2 linked regions of the Arabidopsis thaliana genome follow. The protein of the gene in region 1 purifies or fractionates together with the protein of each later gene. This does not show direct contact. Each region holds a gene or a part of one and is shown on either strand. Other genes may lie near its edges.

Region 1 (6,315 bases):
AAGAAGCAGCTAAGTTTGATCTGGCTTTGCCATACGCACCGTATTGGTGGGGACTTACGGTTGGAGGAATGATGGGGACAGGTGCTCACGGAAGTTCTTTATGGGGTAAAGGAAGTGCGGTTCATGATTACGTGACCGAGATAAGATTGGTGAGTCCCGGTTTGGCTTCTGATGGGTATGTAAAGGTTCAGGTTCTTAGCGAGACTATAGATCCGGAGGAATTTCGCGCAGCCAAAGTTTCTCTAGGTGTTCTTGGTGTTATCTCTCAAGTAACTTTCGAATTGCAACCAATGTTCAAAAGATCGTTAAATTATGTTATGAGAAACGATTCGGATTTCGGAGATCAAGCAGTGAGTTTTGGCGAAAGACACGAGTTTGCGGATTTCTTATGGTTACCGAGCCAAGGAAAAGTGGTGTATCGCATGGATGGCCGAGTTCCGCTTAATACTTCGGGAGATGGCTTGTTCGAATTTTTCCCATTCCGTTCACAACTCTCTTTAGTGTTAGCCATAGATAGATCCTTAGGTAAATCTTTATTTCTCAAGATAATTAATACCAATATTTTTGATTTGCATAGCTATAATGTTTCTTATATATATACTTTTGCTTCATGTCATGCAGAGGAGAGTGAAGAGTCACTTGAAGATGCAAACATGAAGTGTGTGAGGGCAAAGCTAGTATCGTCGTCTATGTTTTTAATGTCATACGGTGTGACTAATAACGGTATTTCTTTTACTTGCTTATACATTTGTTGATTGTTTCGATATAAGATTATACAAAACTTTCACTAGTAATTTCCATGGACAGGCCTAATATTCACAGGCTATCCGGTCATCGGAATGCAAAACCATATGATGTCGTCAGGTTCATGTCTAGACAGTCGTCAAGACGGACTAATCACGGCTTGTCCATGGGATCCACGGATAAAAGGCCAATTCTTTCACCAAACAACATTCAGTGTTTCTCTCACAAATGTCAAAAGTTTCATCAACGACATCAAAGCACTTGTGAAGATCGAACCGAAATCTTTATGCGTACTTGAAGGCAGCAACGGTATTCTCATCCGCTATGTCACATCCTCTCTAGCATTTCTCGGAAAAGAAGAAAAAGCTTTAGATTTTGACCTAACTTACTACAGAAGCAAAAATGATCCATTGGCACCGCGTCTATACGAGGATTACATTGAAGAAATCGAGCAAATGGCGATATTCAAATACAATGCGTTACCACATTGGGGGAAGAATAGGAACCTAGCGTTTGATGGTGCCATTAGAAAATACAAGAACGCAAACGCGTTTTTAAAAGTAAAAGAGAAATTTGATTCTTTAGGATTGTTTTCCACTGAATGGACTGATCAGATTCTAGGTTTAAAAGGAAACGTGACGATTGTGAAACAAGGATGTGCATTGGAGGGACTATGTATTTGTTCAGAGGATTCTCATTGTGCTCCTACCAAAGGTTATTTATGTAGACCAGGTAAAGTTTATAGAGAAGCTAGAGTTTGTACTCGTGTAAGTTCCTAAATCCTAATCAAAGTTTTGGTCCTCAGTTCTGTTATATATCAAAAACCTCATTCCTCTCTCTGCTTTAAGAGAACAGAGCAGTCTCTGTTCATAATTGACAAGCGAAAACGACGTTGTATTGAATTCGTGACACGTGTCAAACAATGAGTAGTTAATCAAAGTGTCACTCGCACGTGAAGAGAGTAGAGTAGGTGGGTTTAGGGTTTAAGTGTTCCAGATTCTTCCAAATTCAGTTGATCCAACGGCTCAGACTTAACCTGAAACCTTTGAAGACGCGATCCTCGAACTTCACCAGTCCGTTTGCACTATGCAACCAAACACACTTTGTATCGAATAAATTAAACAAAAATCATAACTTTACAATCGCATAAATCGACTTTCATCTTCTTCACAAGAAAACCTCTCTCAGTCGCTAAAACCCTTGAACCATCTCTTGATCGCTAGCTTCTAAGTAAGTGTATAGTTGAATCATTTCGATCAAAGTTTAGGTAAAAAGTTGTTTGCTTTCAGATACCCTTGTTTTGATTTGTGTCGATGATTACAAAGTTTTACTTTGATTTGTGTCTTTAGGGTTTATTAGATTCATTCAAGCTATAAAGTTTTGATTTTGATCTGTTTTTGCAGAGAGTGAAAAACCATGGCATCAACCTTTAGCGCAACGTCGTCAATGGGTTCATCTTTGGCTCCTCCTTCGAATCGATTGTCATCTTTTGTTTCGATCTCATCAAGCTCTTTTGGAAGGACTCAGAGTATTGCTCAGAGGAAAGCAAGGTTTCCTAAAATATATGCGGCTAAGCAATTGCATTTCAATAAGGACGGGACTGCGATTAAGAAGCTTCAAGTGAGTCTATTCTATTTCGGTGATTTTGTGACTTCTAGTTCTTTATTGAATAACTTATATCATTTCATTATGTAGGCTGGTGTGAATAAACTTGCGGATTTAGTTGGGGTTACTTTAGGTCCTAAAGGCAGGAATGTTGTTCTAGAGAGCAAATACGGTTCCCCTAGAATCGTTAATGATGGTGTTACGGTCGCTAGAGAGGTAACGGTGTTATCTCTTGTTGTGTCTAATGTGTAATCAGGTGTGAAATCGATTTGTAGATTTTGAAAAGCTTTTGCTGTTTGTTTAGGTTGAGCTTGAGGATCCAGTTGAGAACATTGGTGCTAAGCTAGTGAGACAAGCTGCTTCCAAGACTAATGACTTAGCTGGTGATGGAACAACGACTTCTGTTGTTCTTGCTCAAGGTCTTATTGCTGAAGGTGTAAAGGTTTGTAATTTATTGTCTTTCTTTTGTGAATTTGAAACAACCAGTGTTTTTTGTTGTTGTTGTGATATGATGTGGATTGAATTGTGTAGGTGGTAGCTGCTGGTGCAAATCCTGTTTTGATTACCAGAGGTATTGAGAAAACCACCAAAGCTCTTGTGGCTGAGTTGAAGAAAATGTCAAAGGAGGTATTGTTGACTTAATTAGATTCTTAATCTAGCTCTTTTCATGTGCTTTAGAGGATTCTTGATCATGTAGCTCTTTTCTGGATTGCAGGTTGAAGACAGTGAACTAGCAGATGTTGCAGCAGTTAGTGCAGGAAACAATTACGAAGTAGGCAATATGATTGCAGAAGCAATGGCAAAAGTTGGTCGTAAAGGTGTTGTCACTCTAGAGGAAGGCAAAAGCGCTGAGAACAGCCTTTACGTTGTTGAAGGAATGCAATTTGATCGTGGTTATATCTCTCCTTACTTTGTCACCGACAGTGAGAAAATGTGTGCAGAATATGAGAACTGCAAGGTATTATTATTGTTTATACAGTTAAATCTTAATAGCTGATAAAAAACCGCAGTATTTTTTGACTATATGTCTCTTCTTGCTTTTGTAGTTGTTTCTTGTTGACAAAAAGATAACAAATGCTAGAGATATTATTAGCATTCTGGAAGATGCGATTAAAGGTGGATACCCGCTTTTGATCATTGCTGAAGATATTGAGCAAGAGCCATTAGCGACTCTTGTTGTTAACAAGCTTCGTGGGACAATAAAAGTTGCTGCTTTGAAAGCTCCTGGATTTGGAGAGAGGAAAAGCCAGTACCTTGATGACATTGCTGCGCTTACAGGAGGTTAGACCAATATACTAAGTGTTCTTTACATTATTGCTTCTATATTAAAAAAAAGCATGTTTAGTTTCTCAAGTTGCTGTGTTTGTTTTTCTCTTTGTAGCTACTGTGATTAGGGAAGAAGTTGGACTTCAGTTGGAGAAAGTTGGACCAGAAGTTTTGGGTAATGCTGGTAAAGTGGTTCTCACAAAAGATACTACAACGATAGTTGGTGATGGAAGTACTGAAGAAGTTGTGAAGAAGAGAGTTGAACAGATCAAGAATCTTATCGAGGTACATCTCAAAAAACATTGAAATGTCCCAATAAATTGGTTTTATGTTACGGTGATTAAGTCTTTGGGTTTGTGTAGGCTGCTGAACAAGACTATGAAAAGGAAAAGCTTAATGAGAGAATTGCTAAATTATCAGGCGGTGTTGCTGTAATTCAGGTGAGATACTAAGAAACAAATCACATGATGCAAAAAGCGTAGCTTAAGGTAATAAGAAGAATAATCTAAACGTTTTATATTCTTTAGGTTGGAGCACAAACTGAGACAGAGCTTAAGGAGAAGAAATTAAGAGTTGAAGATGCTCTTAATGCTACAAAGGTAACATCATCTCTAAGCAAAGAGCCTTGAAATGTTTCCATCCATATGGTAGAGACTAAGTTGTTGGACCTTTTAATTAGGCTGCTGTGGAAGAAGGTATTGTTGTTGGCGGAGGATGTACTCTGCTAAGACTTGCATCGAAAGTGGACGCTATTAAAGAGACTCTAGCAAACGATGAAGAAAAGGTTAGTCCAGAAGAGTTGCACAGCAGAGAAAGATAACATGAATGAGGAGTTTGCCGTCTGCGGGTTATAACGCCATTTTACAATTCATCTTAACCTCCAGGTTGGAGCTGACATTGTTAAGAAAGCATTGAGCTACCCACTGAAGTTAATCGCCAAGAACGCTGGTGTCAATGGCAGCGTTGTCAGTGAGAAGGTAATCAATCTCCTTAAAAGAATGCAAGTTTGAGTCTTTTGATATAGAAACTAAGTCAATGGCTTTTTTCGGTTGACAGGTTCTTTCTAGTGACAACCCTAAACATGGTTACAATGCTGCAACTGGCAAATACGAAGATCTCATGGCTGCAGGAATCATTGATCCAACCAAAGTGAGCAAAGTTCCTTACTTTTTCACATATTGAAATCTGCTGTTTCGGGTGCTAACCGAGTTTTCTTCTTTTCAAGGTTGTGAGATGTTGCCTAGAGCATGCTTCATCTGTGGCAAAGACATTCTTGATGTCTGATTGTGTTGTTGTGGAGATCAAGGAGCCTGAATCAGCAGCTCCTGCTGGTAACCCTATGGACAATTCAGGTATCTCTTAGTTCTTCTTCTTGAATCCTCTGAATCATTAACAAAATCTGCAACTTTATTCTTACAAAATTTCTCTGTCGGTTTTCAGGTTACGGCTTCTAAGTTGGCAATTGAGAACAGAGTAGTCCCTGATGAAGCAAAAGCCACGACCAAGTTCTTCACTTCCTGATCTGAAACTTCTTTAAGCCAATGTAAATTATATGTTTTTCCAGTGACCTGAAGAAACATATAATTTGGTTCTGTGTTCTCCGATTCAAGATCAAGTTTTTCAATATGACAACTTCACTAAAGAGACACAGTTTGCAGTGCTCAATAGACTTGATTTAGTTAGTATCATTTTCTTTATTTCAAATTAAAACGAACGAGGATATGCACAAAATCATGAGCAGCAACAAGCCAACAACCAAGCACAATACTAAATTACTACTTTGTTTGTGGTTTTTTGTGGCCTCCATAGCCAATATCTTGATACTTTAAAATTGTAATCTATTTAATTAGTTCAACAATTCTCTTTACCTGAGCATAGACTATGACATAATGTGGAGTATATTGTCTATTACTTTAAAACTTTAAAATGTTCCCCAAACATTAATTAAAAAGACTACCAAGTAAACATCTGTAAAGCTGAGAAGTTTTTTTCATTTTGTATGATCTATACTAAATTTAACAGAACTATTATTGATGATATGTTTTTATATATATGAAATTTGGAGAATTTGTAAAAATCAACCATTTCTAGTGCTTATACTAACAATCCACATCATAATCTTTATTTCTTGTTCGTTCATCGATCTTTTTTTTTTATAAAACCACATTAGTTGAGTTTCAGAGTTGTCAGCAAACTGAAGAAAGATAGTAAAGTAAGTGATCTTCCTAGTAATTTCTTTACAACTTTTTGGTTTATTCTTCAATATATACAAAGTAATAATCGAGGAGAGAAATTTTCTAAGAGCATTTTCAAAGTCAATCTTACTTTAAAAGCTTCGAGTGGGTTCCACTATAACTCTGAGTCTCTGACACACACTCTTTCGTAACCTTTTGTTGTTTTTTCGGGTTTGTTCATAACTTTTTTTTTGTAAACCAAATTTAGAGTTTTAAAGTTGATGATGAACCTACGCAAACGCAAGAGATAGCTACTTAGTTGTCTTCCTTGAAATTTCCTTACTAACTTTTGTTTTCTTGTTCAACCTACCAAAAAGATTTGATGGGAAAAAAAATTATACACTTTTAAGAGCATTTTCAAAGTTAATCATACTTTAAAAACTGCAAGTAAAGTTATACTAGTTTTGCAAAGACATGAAACGATTCTAGCCACATATTTTCTTCTATTTAAACGAATTTAATCGTT
Region 2 (4,486 bases), 5.7 Mb from region 1:
TGGGTTCACTTCTAGGGGGTGAACCTAATTTATTCACCCCCTCTTTAATAACAAATCAATATTTGCCATGTTATTTGATTAAAAAAACTTAAAACAATTAATATTATCAAAATAAAATAATTAAAATAAATCATTAAAACCCCACTTTTTTGTAAATCCAAACCGATATATAATCTCGTTTAATTACCAAATCTAAGCCCTAATTCTCCTTTATAAACCCAAACCGCCATTTAGACTTATTTAATCGTTAAAAAACAAACCATAATCGTATTTTCTAAACCCAAACCGACATTTAACCTAGTTTAATTGTAAAATCTAAATATGTTTATAAGCCCAAACTAATATTTAACATCGTATAATCATAAAATCTAAACCCTAATCGTATTTTGTAAACCCAAACCGATATTTAACCTCGTTTAATCATAAAATCTAAACTCTCATTTTTTCTAATAAACTCAAACCGATACATAATTTTCTTTTAGTGGCAAATTAGATTTAATAGTTAAATTAATTTTTTATTATTATTACTAGTTTGTTAGTTGGGTTTAAAAGTTTCATCAAAGGAGATTTCATAATTGAATAAGGTAAGTGACGATTTTAAAATAGCTTGTTTTTAGAAGTTTTTCGTTCTAGGTTTGTTCTTATTGCATGTAGCTAGTTAGCGTCATGAACTAGTAACTGATCTTAGGGAGATAAAACCACAAAAGTGCTGAATTTATTTACTTGATCTAACATACATAGACTAGAAACTACGTTATAACAATACAAAAGCTTAGTTGTAGAGCTTTGTTTGTGGAGGTAAAGGAACTTGATCTCATTGGGTGATTGATTTTGTGGCTACAACAAAAATCTGAGTAGTTAAGTTTTTATCGATGCTACAAAATTCAATCCCCTAGTCATCTGTGATTCCAGTTTAAGGAACTTGAGCTAAACTGAATATGCTTTTGTTAATCTTCTTGTATGAGACAATATGAACTTTCGCGATATTCTTAAAGACTCAACGATTAATTATCATACAGTTGATAATAATAGTCGAAAATAACAATCGTTACCAATCCACTTCTATATTATGTATAAAATGATTAAAACTATATTATAAAACAAATAATAATTCAAATTTAAATAAATATTTAAAAATCAAAATTCTATTAGTGTTGTACAAGCACATGTTATGATCTACTTCATCACTATATTCGTCAAAACTAAAAATGTATGACTTTTCAGCTGTCATAAAAGTTTAGAAATATACAATAAATTAATTTTAAGATATCAATTTTAAAAATGATAAATGTTCTAAAATTTTAAATAGGATCAATCACAGAGACTTTTTTTTTGTAACAATTCAAATTATATGATTACTAATAACAAAATCGCAAAGTTTTATATTTATAAAATTAATTCATTTTTATTTAGTTTCAAATAATATACAAGAATATTCAAGCTAGTGTGCTCTGTTTTGTCTAATGTTTTTTTTTTTACTGAGAACTATTGACCAAACTCTTTTGTACATATTTAAAGATTCTTAAACAATTTCACATTTCATCAAAAAAAAAAAAAAGAATATACAAGGATTATCCTGTATAAAAACATAGGCCTAAAGTCTGTATAAAACATATGCCTAAAGTCTTAGCCCAATAAGCTAGATACCGAGCCAATACAAAGCCCAGAATTTAATAGAAGCCCATTAAATCGAGAGAGAGATCGAGAGCATCCATGGCTTGAAGGAAAAGAAAAGTTTTGTTTCTGAACTTTCGTCTCTATAAACCCTTTCGACGACGAGTGAAGAAGAAAGCGAGACGAAGAAGCAAAGATGTTCAGAAACCAATACGACACAGATGTTACGACATGGAGTCCAACAGGTCGTTTATTCCAAGTGGAATACGCCATGGAAGCAGTGAAGCAAGGATCTGCAGCAATTGGACTCAGATCTCGTTCTCATGTCGTTCTCGCTTGTGTTAACAAAGCTCAATCGGAGCTTTCTTCGCATCAGAGGAAGATCTTTAAAGTCGATGACCATATCGGTGTTGCAATCGCTGGTCTCACAGCCGACGGTCGTGTATTGTCTCGGTATATGAGATCGGAATCGATTAATCACTCTTTTACTTATGAGTCTCCTCTTCCTGTTGGTCGTCTCGTTGTTCATCTTGCTGATAAAGCTCAGGTTAGGCTTTTGTAGTTTGTTGATTGAGATTTGGTGGAATTTGGAATCGATTACGCTTGGTTTTGTGTGATTCGGTGATAAGTGTGTTGTAATTGTTAATTGAAATTTGAGGAATTTGGAATTCGATTACACTGTGAATCACTGAGCTCAAATTTAGCCATTAGCTTCTTGACTTTGTGCTTAGGGTTTGATCTGAGCTGATTAGGATTCTAAATTGCATTAAATAAGAGTTTTCTTAATTTATCATAGCAGAAACTTGAATCTTGTTTAGTGAAATTGTTTGCATGTTTGTTGTTACTGCTGCATAATCTTGTATTTAAAAGTTTAACCATAACTAAGAGCTTAACAATAGGATTCTAAAAGAAAGAGATTTGTGTTTCTTCTGGTGCTTTTGCTTGTTTCTGCAGTTTTTATTTGGAGTTATTGATTTTCAGTACCTCTAAGAAGTGAATTCCGCTCTTTGTTTTGCATCGTTCTCACCACTATGCACTTATCTTACCAGTCAATTACTCCTGCTAGGTGCTTGTTCGACATCTTTTCTGTAATTATGTGCTACTTCTCACTTTGTTTTTCCACCTATCTAATGGTTTCTTAAGTTAGCTGTTTTATCCACATCTGCATAAATACTTTTCAAAGCCATTGGGAAGAGCTCCCATATATTATATGTGTTTATAAAAGGAAGGGTCTTGTATTTCCTCATTGTCAAACTTTATTAGTTGGTTTACTCTTTTGTAGGAGAGATTTTACTTGACAGGTCCAACTTAAGTTACATTATTGTCATATTTCTTGTCTTTACCAAGGGTTTTTTTTGTTATATTTCTTGATCTGGAAAAGGAAATATTTATGTGTATGTTTGCCTTTATGAACAGGTCTGTACCCAACGATCATGGAAACGACCCTATGGTGTTGGTTTGCTGGTAGGTGGATTGGATGAGTCTGGAGCCCACCTTTACTACAACTGTCCCAGCGGAAACTACTTCGAGTACCAAGCTTTTGCTATTGGATCCCGTTCCCAAGCAGCAAAGACCTATCTGGAACGCAGGTTTGAGAGCTTTGGGGATTCTTCTAGAGAAGATCTGATCAAAGATGCTATTTTGGCTGTTAGGGAGACATTGCAAGGGGAAACACTGAAGAGTTCTCTCTGCACAGTCGCTATTCTAGGAGTCGATGAACCGTTCCACTTCCTGGACCAGGAAGCAATACAGAAAGTGATCGACACATTTGAGAAAGTGCCAGAGGAAGAGGAAGGAGAAGGCGAGGCTGGTGAGGGTGAGGCCGAAGCTGCCGAGGCTGCACCAGCAGAACGAGGTGGTGGTGTTGCAGGTGACCAAGACGTGGCTCCAATGGAAATGTAAGGCTTGTGTGTGTAACGCTGGAACTATTTTATTTCGATGTTAGTTGGATTTTTACTTTGCAAAATGGCTGCGGGTTTAGATTATATGCTTGAGAAGTTGAAACCATTTCGTCATTTAAACTCAATAGCTGCCATCAAGACTTTCTCGTATTCTGGTCTTTTGGTTTAAATCTGAAATCTGTTCACGACTTCCTATCTCTTTGGTTCTGCAATTCCTTGCTAAAAAAGTGTGTAGTGTCATCTAACTAGGGCTGTCAAGCAGGCCAAGCCAGCCTTGTTAGGCCTGCCCTGCAGAGGGTTTTAACAAAAAAATTGACCAGCCTCAAGTTTCCTTCGAAGGTTAATCTAAAATTTGTTAACCCAAAGAACTCCAGAATTTAATGTTAAATCGTAAATTATGATAAAATCATTAGCTCGACGTCATTTAGTCTAATAGAAAACATAAGTGGCCCCCTACATGGTGACGACTACGAAAGACTTTGGATAATGGGAACCATGTAAACCAGACCCATTGACTTTGCCGTCTCTCTTAATCATTTGCTTTATCCAGCATCCGTTCTCGTATATACACCAAATTAACCATCAAAGGAAAAAAAAATGATCAAGAGTTTATCATTGCATCTAAGAGCTAGTGGATCATATAAAATTGAATTAACAACGAACAGTCATGTTTTCGGTGTCAAAAGACATTGTGAATTAAACATACGAAACTACGTCAAATCGTTTAAGGCAATTGGAAAACACAAGATCTTTTACGGGTTCAGGTGTCTCGTTGTAAGATTATCCTACATTACAACAGGGTTTGAACGATAATCATTGTCAACCGTTTCTATCAAGAACATAGGAACTTTAAATTGTAGCAAAAACGCAATTTCACGATTTTATCGGCAATTTTTATATAAGTTCTGTACTAAAATGCTATTCCATATTTTCCAACGTAAAAATTCACATAATTCACAAATATAAATAAT

The links.
Region 2: the proteins of Cpn60beta3 (region 1) and PAF1 fractionate together in Arabidopsis thaliana (co-fractionation; one large-scale study listed by BioGRID). This does not show direct contact.

Annotation. Positions count from the first base shown.
Region 1 is NC_003076.8:22,871,898-22,878,212, forward strand, and holds Cpn60beta3 (TCP-1/cpn60 chaperonin family protein), read left to right. Parts: upstream 1-1,770; 5' UTR 1,771-1,974; exon of another isoform or gene 1,975-2,011; intron 2,012-2,147; 5' UTR 2,148-2,160; coding exon 2,161-2,364; intron 2,365-2,439; coding exon 2,440-2,565; intron 2,566-2,653; coding exon 2,654-2,791; intron 2,792-2,880; coding exon 2,881-2,976; intron 2,977-3,064; coding exon 3,065-3,307; intron 3,308-3,395; coding exon 3,396-3,630; intron 3,631-3,730; coding exon 3,731-3,900; intron 3,901-3,977; coding exon 3,978-4,055; intron 4,056-4,142; coding exon 4,143-4,214; intron 4,215-4,294; coding exon 4,295-4,399; intron 4,400-4,499; coding exon 4,500-4,592; intron 4,593-4,671; coding exon 4,672-4,764; intron 4,765-4,840; coding exon 4,841-4,967; intron 4,968-5,055; coding exon 5,056-5,069; 3' UTR 5,070-5,510; downstream 5,511-6,315. Other genes in the region: GulLO4 (D-arabinono-1,4-lactone oxidase family protein), read left to right, coding at 1-525, 622-723, 808-1,523. UniProt on the Arabidopsis thaliana protein: Involved in protein assisted folding.
Region 2 is NC_003076.8:17,158,300-17,162,785, reverse strand, and holds PAF1 (proteasome alpha subunit F1), read left to right. Parts: upstream 1-1,629; 5' UTR 1,630-1,810; coding exon 1,811-2,161; intron 2,162-3,030; coding exon 3,031-3,516; 3' UTR 3,517-3,742; downstream 3,743-4,486.